Pelodiscus sinensis: one gene and its partner. Each later gene encodes a partner of the first gene's protein in a complex. Links are inferred from orthologs where the notes say so. Each region holds a gene or a part of one and is shown on either strand. Other genes may lie near its edges.

Evidence for each region. Proteins that work in one complex are often made in the same cells at the same time.
Region 2: VPS8 (region 1) and TGFBRAP1 share a complex: the UniProt entries of both Homo sapiens proteins name them as parts of the putative class C core vacuole/endosome tethering (CORVET) complex. The link is inferred for Pelodiscus sinensis from reciprocal best matches to the Homo sapiens genes VPS8 and TGFBRAP1.

Annotation. Positions count from the first base shown.
Region 1 is NC_134720.1:3,949,796-3,957,025, forward strand, and holds the start of VPS8 (vacuolar protein sorting-associated protein 8 homolog), read right to left. Parts: upstream 3,015-7,230; 5' UTR 2,812-3,014; coding exon 2,665-2,811; intron 1,471-2,664; coding exon 1,402-1,470; intron 678-1,401; coding exon 547-677; intron 1-546. UniProt on the Homo sapiens protein: Plays a role in vesicle-mediated protein trafficking of the endocytic membrane transport pathway.
Region 2 is NC_134711.1:233,363,923-233,371,245, forward strand, and holds the start of TGFBRAP1 (transforming growth factor-beta receptor-associated protein 1), read right to left. Parts: upstream 3,021-7,323; 5' UTR 2,905-3,020; coding exon 2,883-2,904; intron 1-2,882. UniProt on the Homo sapiens protein: Plays a role in the TGF-beta/activin signaling pathway. It associates with inactive heteromeric TGF-beta and activin receptor complexes, mainly through the type II receptor, and is released upon activation of signaling.

The DNA.
Region 1 (7,230 bases):
CTTTACAATCACAACAGATAAATTTATGTAAACTTAAAATAATTCTGCAACAAATTCCACAGCCCACTGCAGCATATATTAGACCTCTATCTTTCTGTCTCGTGGATCCCTTAGGAATAAGCAGCCTGTTACAGAATGACTTTTTATGCACATCATCCATTTTTAACATGTGGACTGAGGTTTGATCCTATCAGAGTTTGCACTGCAGTATATTGCGGGATTTTCCTCTTAATAGTGGGTTATTTTCCACTAAGATAAAGGTTAGTTTTCTATTGGGAAAAATGGCTCTTTTCACTATGCAAAATATATCACAGAAGTTTGGATGCTTCTTTGCTCGGGATTCTCCAAAATATCTTTTGAACAACAGACCACATTTCTAGTTTACCCCACTGGATTTCATACTAATCCCATGGATTGAACAGACGCAAGTGTGTCAGAAAACAGAGTTATGTGGTCCTCAGTGAAATATGATACATCAGTTCCAATACTCATGATACATCTAACTCAAAGATGGTATAGAAGAGAACTGTCCAACTTATCAGTTACCTTTTCAAGTGTGTCCTGTCCCCACTGTCTGAGCTTGCCAAGGATGATGTGTCATAAGAGTGAGTGTCAATGTTATCAACATTTAATAGAGAGGGATCCTCAAGAATGAAAGACTCTTCTTCATCATCAGTCTGAAACAAAAGCAACAATTTGATAAACACGACAGACAAGACAGACTGGAAATGACTCATCTCTAATGGAGTTCTCGGGTCATGATTCCTTGCACTGAACATTCAGATCATCCAGGGGTAACCTGTTTTTCTTGGAATACCCATATTACTAGTATAGATCCCCACTGCTGGAATCTGACAGGGACTGATCCTCAGAAGATGCTGTGGTCAGAGTCTAGAATGTGCAGTCTATGTTCAAAGTGGAAATTAAGAAGTCAATTCTTAAAGGTAAATAAAGACTGGAACAGATTATTAAGGGATGTAGTAAATTCACAATCACTTGTAGCGCCTAGAATACACACCTGATGTGACCCAAACACCACACTATCAAACTGTATTTATCCATTTATAACATTTACCTGCACACCAAGTGTTCTGTGGCTATGTATTTTCTTCATAAGTATGCCCAATTGTGTATCTACCTACTTGTAAATATTTTCTAAATATACAAGTATTTAGAAAACATAGATCTTAGATATTAAATATGGCATCTTCTGAGTAGAAAACACACAACTGAAGTGTATCACAGTGTTCAGAGTTTACTTGGTGTGTGTATTTTGCCAACTGCAGAATAAACTAAATAATCCATTCTGACATCACCGTTTAGAGAGAATTTATTAATATGAACAATTCTGTCTAGTTTCAATATTTTGGAAGCCTGCCATATATGACAAAACACACTCACCTCATTTAATATGCTTTCCAATGTTGGAGGAGTATCAACCTGGGGAATATCAAACTCTTTATCGTCTATCTAAATAAAAAAAAAAAATTTAGCCTCTTTATTCAACCTTCCAAACGTACATTTTACAGGGACTCAAAATGTACTGTATTTAGCAATTTTCTGGAGATCGACTGGAGTATGATGTGCAGTAGAACTTCAAACAGCATCATAACAAACTGACTAGTCAATCACACACCTCAACTGGAATCAGACACACGTGATCAGGGAGTGGCCGAGACCAAAAAAAGGCAAATGCAGTACAGTACCATGTTAAACTACTTTAAAAAGGGGGGGGGGGGAGGAGCAACATTTTTCTTCTGCATAGTAAAGTTTCAGGACTGTATTAAAATCAATGTTAATTTGTAAGCTTTTGAAAGAACCATAACATACTATTCAGTTATGAACAACCTCCATTTCCAAGGTGTTTATAACTGAGGTTCTAATATAACTTCACATTCAGATGCCTTCAATGCACTCTAAATTGCTTTGCAGTGGTCTGAAGGGACAAGAAAACAATCCAGTGTGCCATACATACTGTAATGTTAGGCTGTTCAATTATTTGTTTGTTTCATTAACTCCTCAAACACCAATTACTTCGTAAACTAGAGGTTCTACTCTAGTGTTTCCAACTGAGATCAGGTCCCTGATGTGCTAGGTACTGGTCACACACATAGTAAGGAAGTTTACCTCCTTTACTGTGATATGCATATCCCTGGGGGCACTTGTGAGACATCTCTGGGAAAGCCAGCAGTTAATTTAGTTCAAGATGTACCAATGGGAACACAGATAGCAGAGATGCGGACACACAGAGCCCTCACCTCCAGTCAGTACAGTGGGGGTTGCGTTGCCCAGCAACTGTCCAGACTAAATGAGACGAGAACCTCCACAAGTGAGGGGGGTCCTGACTATGCTGGGCTACAAGTATCTGCCCCCACACGCGGCTGAGCGCAGGCAGGGCGCGGACAGGCTGTCGGTGAGCAGGCGGCGGGCCGATGGGCAGGAAGAGCCCAAGTTTCTGCGGCTGTGGCTGTGCTGCAGACTCGCGTCTTTCACCAGAGGCTCCAGCCGGAGACCCGCCCCTGCCCCCGGGACACAGCGCTCAGCAGAGCAGCGGCCGGCAGCCGCGGGGCGCAGACTGACCCAGGCCCGCAGGAGCCAACAGCGCGCGCGCTCAGGGGCCTCCCCCCCGGGCCGCGCCTCCAGCCGAGCGCCCCCCCCCCTCACCAGGTCGCCGCCCGACTCCAGCTCCCGGTCCAGCTCCGCGCCGCCCAGCTTCGGCAGCAGCACCTCCTGGCCCGGCAGCGGCCCCAGCTCCTCGCCGGGCCCCGGCAGGGGGGCGCCCGGCTCCGCGCCGCGGCTCTCGGGCTCCATCTCCAGGCCCGGCTCCCTCAGGCGCGCGCCGGGGGAGCAGCGCGGGACCCCGGCGGGCTCTAGCGCCTGAGGTGGGAGGCAGCGGCACGAGAGGCCGGGGAGGTGAGGCCACGCCCCGCCCTCACGCGTGAGGAAATATCGGCTCGTGGAGCAGCCGGGCTGAGGACCCCGCCACCGGCACTAGCCGAATGACCGCTCACTGCGCATGTGCGTCTCCAGCCAATCTCCTCTGAGGCCAGAGAGCAGCAGCTAGTCCGCCCCGCCCCCATTCATACACACTCGCTTCCACCATGCGCCCATGCACACCGCCCCTGCCGCTTCCGCCACGCCCCTTTCGCCCCGCCCCCATGCACACCGCCCCTGCCGCTTCCGCCACGCCCCCAAGCCCCGCCTGCGGCCGCACCACGCCCCCATTCGCGCCCTCTAGCCGCCCGCGTGCAACTGGCCTCTTGTGTGTGCAGCGTCCGTGCGGCCAGGGCAGGGCCTGCCGCACCCCGCGTGTCCGGGCAGGGCGCACCGCTGCTCCTCGCTCGCTGCCCCCCGTTGGCTGAGGGAGCCCGCAGGAGCTCGCTGGCTGCCTGATGCTTAGCTCAGGGCCTGCCCCGCGCCCGGCCTCAGACCTACTAACCCCGCTCTGAGCTCCGGCTCCTGGCTCTGCCCCCGCCCGTGGGGCCGGCCCGTTGACTTGGCCTGCAGACTGTAACTGGGTCTGACCTTGCTCCTTCTGCTAGGCCTGGCCGCTGCTCTGCGCACAGTCAGGCCACCCACCTGGCTGCTGGCAGTTGGGGCAGACCAAACTATCTGAGACAGGGCCCAGCCTGGCAGCGACTGCTGCTCCGTCCCAGGAAAAGAATTTCCCTGTTGGAGACAGCAGGTACCCTACAGCCCCTGCACATGAGCTAAATGCGTTGCAGGCTCAAAATACGGTGATACACAAACAGGCCAGGTTATGCTTAGCCTGTCTTCCCATGAGTCAGAGTCCCCTACCTGACAAGGAGCTTCAGGGGGTTGTTAGAGTGCTCTGGGAAGCAGTAGTATCCACAGCCCAGGGCTGTGGTTGGTCAGACACACTCAGAAACAGCAGGGCCCACACCCCAGGGCATCAGCTTATAAGACACATGGCACGGGAATGGGTAGTGCCCACACTTTGGAGCAGGGATTGGTCAAACATGTATTTGTGATGTTCTGCTTAGGACAAGTAGAACCATAAACCACTGTGTTACCCCTCTGACTTCATAAGTCAGCTCCCTGCCATACAAGTCTGTCCACATCACCAGAAAGCCCCTTCAGACTCTGTCTAAATCTTGCCTTGCAAGAAACGGTTAACCACAGTTTCTCAGAGATGTCTCCCTGCAATGTGCATTCCTTCTCACTAGACAGAAAATATTAAATCTGCTGCCTGTAATATAATAATAATAATATATGGAGATATACCATCTCATAGAACTGAAAGAGATGGTCATCTAGTCCAGTCCTCTGCCCTCATGGCAGGGCCAAGTACCATCCCTGACAGATTCGCCCCAGATCCCTAAATAGCCCCTCTCAAGGATTAGGAACTCACAACCCTGGGTTTAGCAGGCCAATGCTCAAACCACTAGGCTATCCCTCCCATAGCCCCAACCAAGAAAGAGCATACATCAGCCTAGATGCACATATCACTTTCACAAACCAGCACTAAAATGATTTATAGTAAAACCAAGAATGAGTTTATTAAGAACAGAAATTAAAATGATACATCTGAGATCTGACAGGTCTGATTGCAAGCCAAACTCATTTTCTAGCGACTACAACTTTATCCTAGAAAATTACAATACCCTTTCTCATGTATTTACCAGTATCTCTAGTCCTTCCACCCATGGGACTCAAGATTCACAGACTCAAGAGTTGCCTAAATCTCCTACGTGATGGATAACTAAGGGGTTCTCTTCCCTTTTTTTAAGTACCAGTGAACCTTTGAAATATATTCTTTGAAGTGTACACCCCAGAGAGTTTTTCTCCTCAGCTGGTATGCAGAATATGCCATGCTGTCCTTATCCTCTTACTAATTGGCCCTTTCTATTAGTTTGATCACTTTATTTTAGGCACAAATGTACTTTCACTGTCTCTAAAAAGGCCTCTGCTCCCCTTGGGAAGCCAGTGTTCTGGTCTCTCTTGGAAAACCTGGCTCTAAGTTGGAAGGAGACAGGGTTACCTTGGGTGATACTGAAGTGGCATGTGTCTCCACTCACAGTAATGTCAGCTAGTGCCTTTGATGCAAACATCTAGTAGGAGAGAGAGAGATCACGTTCTCACCCTCCTAGTACTACATACTGCTGTATGTCTTTGTTCACTCCCCTGTGCTAGGCCAAGCAGGGAAGCGGCTCAGAGTGAAAAGCTTTGGTTTGGTTTATTAAAGAATTCTCCAAGCGTGACCCTTTAGTTTGCTCTATCATGTCAAGACAAAGGGCCAGATCCTGAGCTGTGTAACAATCCTTTGCATAGTGCAGGGCTACTCAACTTTGGAAGCCTCAGGGCCCACAATGATACTCACAGCACATGCCGAGGGCCGCAACTTAAGTGTGGTTGCAGATACATGTAAATATATATGCAAATAGCTTCTTTCATACTAACAGGCATGAATACAAAGATTAAGGCAAGACTACAAAACGCATAGGCTGTTTAAGTCAGTTCTGCTGATATTAATAAAATGTAATAGTTACCCAATTTCCACCCATCTGACAGCACTTTTAATGAGCAATGACAGTCCAGGAATTTAACTACTAAAATGCATCTCAACAGAAGACCATATACTGACTACTTTTTTGTTGAGCCCTGTGTAAACCCAAACCGCATCGCGGGCCGCAAACAGATGGGCTGTGGGCCGCATGTGGCCCGTGGGCTGCATGTTGAGTAGCCCTGGCATAGTGTTTCTGTTGCCAGTGAGGAAAGTGGCATCTGGACCTCCATTGGTGTTAAGAACAGGGGGTGCCTGTCACAGAACTATTGACTCCACTCAACCACACTGGGCGGAGAGAGCTGTTGTGGACAGCGCTGTGCCGCTTAGAGAGAGCCAAGACGAGAAAAGGCTCTGAGAAATTTGAGAGACTACGCAGGTTTGACTCCACTGCCTCAGAGGCCTTCCAGAACTCTTGCACAGGCTGAGAGAAATAATCCAAAGTATACTGTGCGCCCCCCCCCCCCCCCAACAAAACAGCTGGAAATATCAGAGACTGAATTTTTCATTAATACTACTTCATAAACACATTAGTTTTCAGAGGGGGGAACAAATGCAGAACAGTATGCAGAAGCAGCATATTTACAAGACAAAACGGCATCTCTTTAAAATTCCTCTTTCACTTCAATAGCAATCCCAGAAGATTAGGGGCACATTAATCTACCAAGGAGGAAAAAAAAGATAATGTGCAGAAGAAAAGATTTAAACAGCTTTTAGCAACTTCAAACAGATCTGTACAACTAGTGTAAGATTAATTTCAGTTTTTACATCGCTGAACAAGGTGCAGTAGAATGAAAGTGTCTTACATTTTCACTGCTCTGTGCTTATTTATTTACTTTAAACGTATACAGCAATAGATAGTCAGAAATCTATCAGATTTCGTAAAAAGTAATTAAAAATCTAGATCTTTGTATGCTTCTGACTTTCTTTGCACTTGTGATACTCAGTTTAAGCTACTTGGACTTTCAAAAAGCCTTTGATAATGTCTTGTGAGGGACTTTAAGAAAACTAAGAAATCAAGGAGTGAGAGGCAAAATGCTAGCATAGGTCAGAAACTGGTTAAGCGACAGAGAATAGAAGGGATAAATGGATAATATTAAACATGGCCAGGGCTCGACAAATAGTGTAATCTACTCGCCCGTGGTGAGTAGATTACACCCCGGAAGAGCCGGCACCGAGCGATCTGCACATGCCCAAAACGATCTGCGCATGCACAGAGTACAGAACCGCACAGCAAAAAGATACATGGCAAAAAGATAAAGGGAGGCATAAGGCTTTGTACCAGCACCAGTCTAGATTAATATATTTAATCTGAATAATGTAGCAAAATTAGCAGATGATTCAATATTAGGCTTTTCTAGTCTTCACTGTGAAGAAGCAGAGGGAGGGACTCAGCCGAGCTATGGGAACACGCATCACTATGGCAGATGAAATTCAATGTTGACAAATAACGAGTAGTCCTGTGGCACCTTAGAGACTAACAAATATATAGGATCATGAGCTTTTGTGGGTAAAACTCACTTCATCAGATGAGTTGGAGTTCAAATAACAGAATCCAAGGTGTGTATATACCAGCAAAAGCAGTTACCTGTTAATTGTAGTACTCGTGTTAAAGAAGCTAATTAAGTGGGCTGGATGTGTTCCATTCATCGCTTGTTATGTGACAATGTGAATGTCAAAGGCAGGGGAAATGACGACAAATGCAG
Region 2 (7,323 bases), on another chromosome or scaffold:
CAATTCATAATAACCAACAAAGCAATTTACAAGTTCCAATATATTGAAAGAGTTTGGTACTTTTATTCTATACCAATCTCTCAAAACTCATTTTAAGAAGGGCAAATGATATTTTGAATTGTAGCCTGGGGGCTTGAATTAAAGCTAGATTAATATTACTACATGCAATCCATAGCATCTCTCAGATAATGGGAGCTTTGCACAAAAATAAAGAGCCATATGGTACTCTCACACAGTAACTAAGTTTTAAGTGGAAATAGTCAATTTCACTAGAAGAGAAAAAATTAAGGACACCATTATTTCTGCACTCCATTTGACTATCTGCATTTGCAATTAGTAGATTTACCCACAGAACTGCATGCCCAATTTATTGGAAAATGTAGCCCACAAAGTGTTCTCATGAGGTTTAGAAGTCAACAGCACAAAAATTTAACAGGTATTGTTCCCTGTTCTCAGAGCTGTTTGTCATTAATACGCTCATTCACCTCACTCTTCAGAACCATTATCTACGAGCATTTTCTCTGACAGATCTTCAGAATGTGAATCTCATGATCAGGCCCTGTGTAATCAGTTTATTTTACTTTTTTAGAAAATTCACTATAGTGTAAATAACAAAGTACTAAAATCACAAAAATTTGCATGGAATTAATTTTACTACTAAGTTTATTCAGTTTCAAGGGTGGAATGATATAGGAGCATAGCACTGTAAATAATTTTTTTGTACTGCAGGTTTTATTGTTAACAGTTTCCATTTTTTATAAAAAAGGAAAAATCATTTTTGTGGGGTATTTTCGTGATTTCCAAGAAATCATGATTTATGTGGGATCCTACATATGGACAATTACTTTAAGACTATGTCTACACTACAAGGTGGAGGGTTCACACCTCAAGCGCACTTCTGCACAAGTAAATCAGCAGAAGAGAAAGCTTTTGGCGGTAGTTATTTCTCTCCCCACGAGGAATAACTCCTTTTTGAGCAAGAGCTCTTGTGCAGAAAAGTCAAGTGTGGATGCTCTGTAGGGGTTTCTTGAGCAAGAAACCCCTATCCGAAAAAGCACAGGTGTTCTGACGGCCATTCTGTGAATGGCCATCAGAGCTTTCTTGTACAAGAGTATCCATAAAGTGTCCATGAGGACTGGATGCGCTTTTGTACAAGTAGTTTTTGCGGAAGAACTCTTCCGCAAAAGGCTTCTTGCACAAAAACCCTACAATGTAGATGAAGCCTAAGAGTGGCTCCAACTCAGTGTTGTTTTTTGACACCTGACCACATTGCTATCAATTATATTTTCTGCACATCCAAATTAAATTTAGTATTCCAAAGTTAATTCCCCATTTAGCATGTTAGGCAAACAAGCATTTGTATCACTGATGAAATATGAGTATTGACTAGCTTTTCGTACTTGAAGAGGTCCTTGTCCTAAAGCACGAACCACCAGAAAGCAGTTCTCCCACATCCTTGAAAGTTTGGGAGGGAGCGGAAGTGAGTGACAAACTAAACCACGTGAGTCTAGCACAATCTCCCTCAAGAGTGTTATTAAAACTTGAGAATTCTGACTGCTCTTTAGGCAGTGTACAGTGCTACACTGAACATTTTAGAGAGTTACAGGCCTGTGGGGGAAGTCACTAGTAAGGATTATTCATCCACAAGTGCTTAGAGGTAAACAACAACAACAACAACAACATTTCAAATAAAATGCTTAGGTCCCAAACATTTGTTTGCACAAATTTGAGAAAACCAGCACCATCTAAACATTACTATCCACCATCCAGAACATAAATGTTAATGCTTTAAATAGGAAAATTTCCATCAGTATTCCCAATGCAGTATACTTTCAAACCATAAGATCACAGAAAAGCATAAGCTCTGTCAGACACCACGGTAAACTATTTTGGGCCAATGTTTTCAAACTTGGATCATTAAAGTTAGGCTAAAATCCATTTTTAATCATCTGCATAGAAGTGGCCTGATTTTAAGACAAGATACAGCTACAACTTCAATTTATAACAGCAGACTGAAAGTGCTAAGGACCTTTGAAAAACAGGTCATTTCTAGTTGGACGCTGAAAAATAGCTTTAGGGCATAATTTAATGTATTTAGGTTTTTAAATCTAAACTTTGGTTATATCTGCACTCCCCTTCCTCCCGCCATGGGCTTAGCTACCTAGTCTGAAAAATAGCTTGTAGCCTACAGTGAAAAGCCAGCCCCTAAACTTTACACTGCCCTTCTTACCTCTGGCTGTCAACATTCAGTCAAAGTTCCTGTAGCCAAGGGTAAAAAATGCTGATTGCCAGTGGGAGAGCTGGTTCTAACCAAGTACAAGTCTGGTTCTAACCAAGACAATTTTAAAAACATCTTCAGAATAAAGGGGATATACAAAGAAATATGCAAATAATCAAACTAGTTAGAATCCTCCAGTAGCCTGTGCTGCTAAAATTAAATCATGCAAATCCTGGGCAAAAACCATAATGTAATACTATACAGATTTAGTGTCTACAGAAAATAAGTGATCTGGCTATATATCCAAGAATAAGGTTGTTGAGAAAGTTTCTTTCAACTTAAACACAACCAGTATGCTATATCTTTTAAATGTATCTTTGATTAAACATCTTGCAACATGTTGTGTTTTAAGCAGATAGCACTGGTATAGGTATCTTGGAATATGCTATTCCTTGTAAGTACCAGATTCCATCTCTCTCAGAAATAGCAAGGGAAATTGTTCAATATTGAACATCAATAGCATAATCCCTAAAAGTGGCACATGCTACCATCCATTGCAATTACTATTGTTACCCATTACTTAGATATTCAATATACATACAAAAATACAATATTTGACCCTATAAATTAAAAACATTTTGGAGACATCACTGAAAAGCCTCACCCTGCTTAAGGCTTTGCCTCATTGATTAGTCAGTACAGTACAATGTAGTGCAGTTTGGGTGTAGCCCTGTCGGTCCTCAAATCTCAGGCATACAAGGCAGGTGACTGAACAAAACAGACACACCTGTCACCTGTGGGGGAACACTTTTCACAAAAAGCGAGCATCATCGTAACTCTCCTATCGGCCCTTACGAGCACAGGAAGCCGGCACATCCCTTTCAGAAGACGAGCCTGAGGGCTTCAGTTCACAACTCGGCCAGACACCAAACATCATGGGCTCCCCTGACACACTGGATTGGGGGCTTTATTACAACGATCCGTAAGCCGCTACCTTCCCGCTCGGCCCTCTGACCGCAGAGGCGCTCGGGGCTCACGCTGCCGGGCCCCGACGCTGCGGGCCGCTGCTCACCCTCCAGAGCCGTGCCCCGGGGACAGGCTCTGCCTGGGCTTGCCCCTCTCGCCAGCGGCTGCCGGACAGACAGACAGACGCGGTCCCCTCACCCCTGCGCCCGCCACCGCTCAGCAGGGAGCGCCCGCCCCGCCCGGCCTGGCGCTGGGCAGAGCAGCGACCCGGAGTCACCCCCCGCCCGCCCGCCCGCCCGCCCGCCTCGGGCACCAGCGCGGCCCCCGCGCCCGGACAGCGGCCGCTCCGGCCGGACAAAATGGCTCCTGCAGCCCCCGCCCGCAGCCCGGACACAGGCCGGGGCCGGCCCAGGGGGGCTCAGGTCCGCCCCCGCGGCGCTTACCGGGGCGGCCACGGCCGGGTCCGGGGCGGCCTGGCCCCCGCCGCGCTACTGCCGGCGGGTCTCCGCCTGCGGCCCGCCCGGGCGCCCTGCCTCCTCCGGGGGCGGCTCCCCGCCCCCCTCCTCACGCTCCTTCCGGTCACGTGAGCGGCGCCGGACACGGGAAGGGCGGGGCCTGAGGAGGGCAAGGGGAGGAAAAGGCGCCGCCCCCATTGACTTTCGTGGGCGCGTATCCCGCAGACCCGCCCCGTACTCAGCCCATCCCCCAACACTCACTATTCCCCCCCCCTCCCCCCCGCAAGCACGTCCTCCCTCGGCGTTCCATTCACGCAGCGCGCGCGCGCGCGCCCCGCCCCTCTGCCCAGCGCCCCGCACGCACGGGACGCTCCTCATGCGGGTGCCCTGCACGTTCGCTCCGGCCAGACCTCGCCCCGCCCCCCCCCCCCCCCCGTCCTCAGCAGCCGGGCGCTGTGCGGGCGCGGGTCAGAACTTCGACAAGTGCAGTGGGTGGCGCAGCAGGGCGAAGACCGGCCCCTGCCTCCCTGCCGCGCCCAGAGCTTACGTGCCCCCGTGTCCAGCTCCTAGGTCCAGGGGTAGTAACAGGGGGTCTGTGCACACTGCCCCTGCCCCTAGTGTGGGGCCTGTAGCGGGGAGGTTGCCCTAGGCTAAGTGCCACACCTGGGCCACTGGGAGAAAAGGGGTTGCCCCAGCCCTGTGCCCCGTATGGACAGTCATGCCCCTTCGCCATCTCTGTCCCAAGGAGCCAAATATCCGGGGGCTCTGCATCCCATGTGCAGGCTTCACTTCCTGCCCAGGACCCTGCTCAGCTTCCATTCCCACGCTCAAGATTCTCAGCCAACCCCTTGTCCCACTCAGCTGCTGGCCCTGCTCTCAGGGACCTGGCCACAGGCCCTTGGTCCCACTTCGCTGCTGTGACCACACAAATGGTCTCGGTGTCCAACCCTGGTTCCCACTTGGCTGCTTGTCCTGTTCTCGGGGACTTGGCCACCACTTCTGAGCCCCGCTCAGCTACTGTCCTCATGCGAATGTTCTTGGTGGCCAGCCATGGCCTTGGGTCTCACTTGACTGCTGGGCACTGGCCCTGCTGCTGAGCCCAGCTTGCAGGATCCCACCTAGCTGCCAGAATGAGGATTTTGGACACCGACCCTATTTGTAGGATCCCAGCTGCTGGCCACAGCTCTAAGGATCAGTTGGGATGTGGACGGAGGTAAGGGGGATGCAGCTCAGCATCATTACTCCAAAAATTATTCTCGTGCCACTACAGGACATGCCATCCACTTCTGGGAGCTGCCTGAAGCTCTGCCTTGGCCCCAAACTTTGATCTAGCATAAGTTAACTAAGTTATAGTTTACAGCCTTATTAGGGGCCTGTAAAAAATAATAATAAAAAAAGACTCCATTTCAAATGTTTATGAAAACTGGTTGATAAAGGATTTATGTGAAGAGGAAGATTCTTGCTGTAGACATTTTTGTTCAAATAGTACTAACTCAAAGCAGTGAACAATTATTTGATTTAGATGGGGTTGGTCCTGCCTAGAGCGGGGGGCTGGACTTGATCTTCTGAGGTCTCTTCCAGTTCTATGATTCTATGATAAGGGGATGGTTGAATGAAATAACATGATCATGGTAACTAATTGACCATTATCAGTTGGAAATAGGTCAATGGAGGGATGATAGGAGTTACTATAGAGAACTTTCTGGGTGTCTGGCTGGTGAGTCTTGCCCACATGTTCAGGGTTTAGCTGATCGCCATATTTGGGGTCAGGAAGGAATTTTCCTCCAGGGTAGATTGGCAGAGGCCCTGGAGGTTTTTCGCCTTCCTCTGTAGCATTGGGCACAGATCACAGCTGAAGGACTCTCTGCATGTTGGGGCCTTCAAAGTATTTGAAGGCTTCAATATCTGAGACATAGGTGAGAGGATTATTCTAAGAGGGGTGGGCGAGATTCTGTGGCCTGCACTGTGCAGGGGGCCAGACTAGATGATCATAATGGTCCCTTCTGACCTTAAAGTCTATGAGTCTATGAGTCTATTGTACTTCACAATAGCCAGACCTTTTTGGTTATTGCAAATCATCAAATATTAGTAGTCAAAGATAATTTTTATCAACAGATCCAGACCTATTTACTTCAATGTCAAACATCCTGGGTATGTCTAGACTACATGCCTATGCCGACAGAGGCATGTAAATTAGACTACCCGACATAGTCAATGAAGCGGGGATTTAAATATCTCCCACTTCATTAAAATAAAAATGGCTGCCATGCTGTGCTGGCTCACCTGATCGTTGGCACAGCGCAGCAGTCAAGACGCGGATCTTTCGACAGGGCAGCCTTTGTCGACTGTTCCTGTAAACCTCATTTCACAACCTGGATTTGTTGATAAAAGCGGGGGATATTTAAATCCCTGCTTCATTGACTGGAGTCAGCTGCTGATCAATTTCAGCAGTGGCTGACTTGGGGACACCTGGGACAGAGCAGCTGGGGTGCTGCTGGGTTGGTCTTGCAGTGCTGAGGGGCGGCGCTACGGGACCAACCCGACAGCACCTCAGCTGCTCTGCCCCAGGCGTCCCCAAGTCAGCTGCTGCTGAAATTGATCAGCGGCTGACTCCAGGAAGCCCGGGGCAGAGCTGCTTGGTCCGGCATCCAATGCTCCGGCACTCCTGATGGTCTGGAACCATCGGGAACCTGAAAGTGCTCCGGGCAGTCGGACAATTGGAGCTGCTCTACCCCGGGCTTCCTGGAATCAGCTGCTGGTCAGTTTCAGCAGCGGCTGAATCGGAGACGCCTGGGGCAGAGCAGCTCCAATTGTCGGACTGCCTGGAGCACTCCCAGGTTCCCGATGGTTCCAGACCATCAGGAGTGCCAGAGCATTGGATGCCGGAGCAATGGAGTTTTACTGTAATATGTGATTCATAGAGAAATATTTATGTAAAAATAACATAAAATAGAAAGGAGCTAATGGTTCTACAGTGTTCTTTATATTAAAATACTTTGAAGTTTAAACTTTTTTACACTAGGAACTGAAGGTACTTTGATAAATGTATGGAAAGGTTGGTTTGTTTTCACTTAGTATGTATTTTTTTTAATAAATATTTTTAAATTGCTGTGGGTAGGAGAAATACAATGACTTAAAAGAACATGATATCTTAAGGTTTTGAAAAACAAGGCAAACATTTAAAATACAATGAAAAATACTTGGTTTTTTTTCTGAGTAGTTTATAAATAACAACTACTTAGAAAATAAATGGCATGTGTCCTCTCTTAGATTGTGATTCTGCAAACATGTATGCATGTGCTTAATTGTACTACTGTAATTCCACTAATTTAAATAAGCCTATTCATAGTAATAAAGTTAAGCTCATGCATAAGTGTTATCAGAATTAGGATCTTAAAATGATACATGGATAAAACTACAAAGAAGGAATGACTTCTAATATTTGACAAGTGCCTATCTCATTTATAACTGCTTATATAATAGCAAAGATTAGCATGATTCTTTACACTATAAAGATGGATTCACCGACCTAAGGAACATATGCCAAATTTCCATTCAGTTATAGAGGTAACATGGGTTGCTAGAAAGTTTTAGAAACGATGGGATAAGTACTGACTGGTCAGACACCAGTAACCAGTAAAACAAGTCCCTGGCAGTATTTCGAACTAGGGGGTTAGTGTAGAC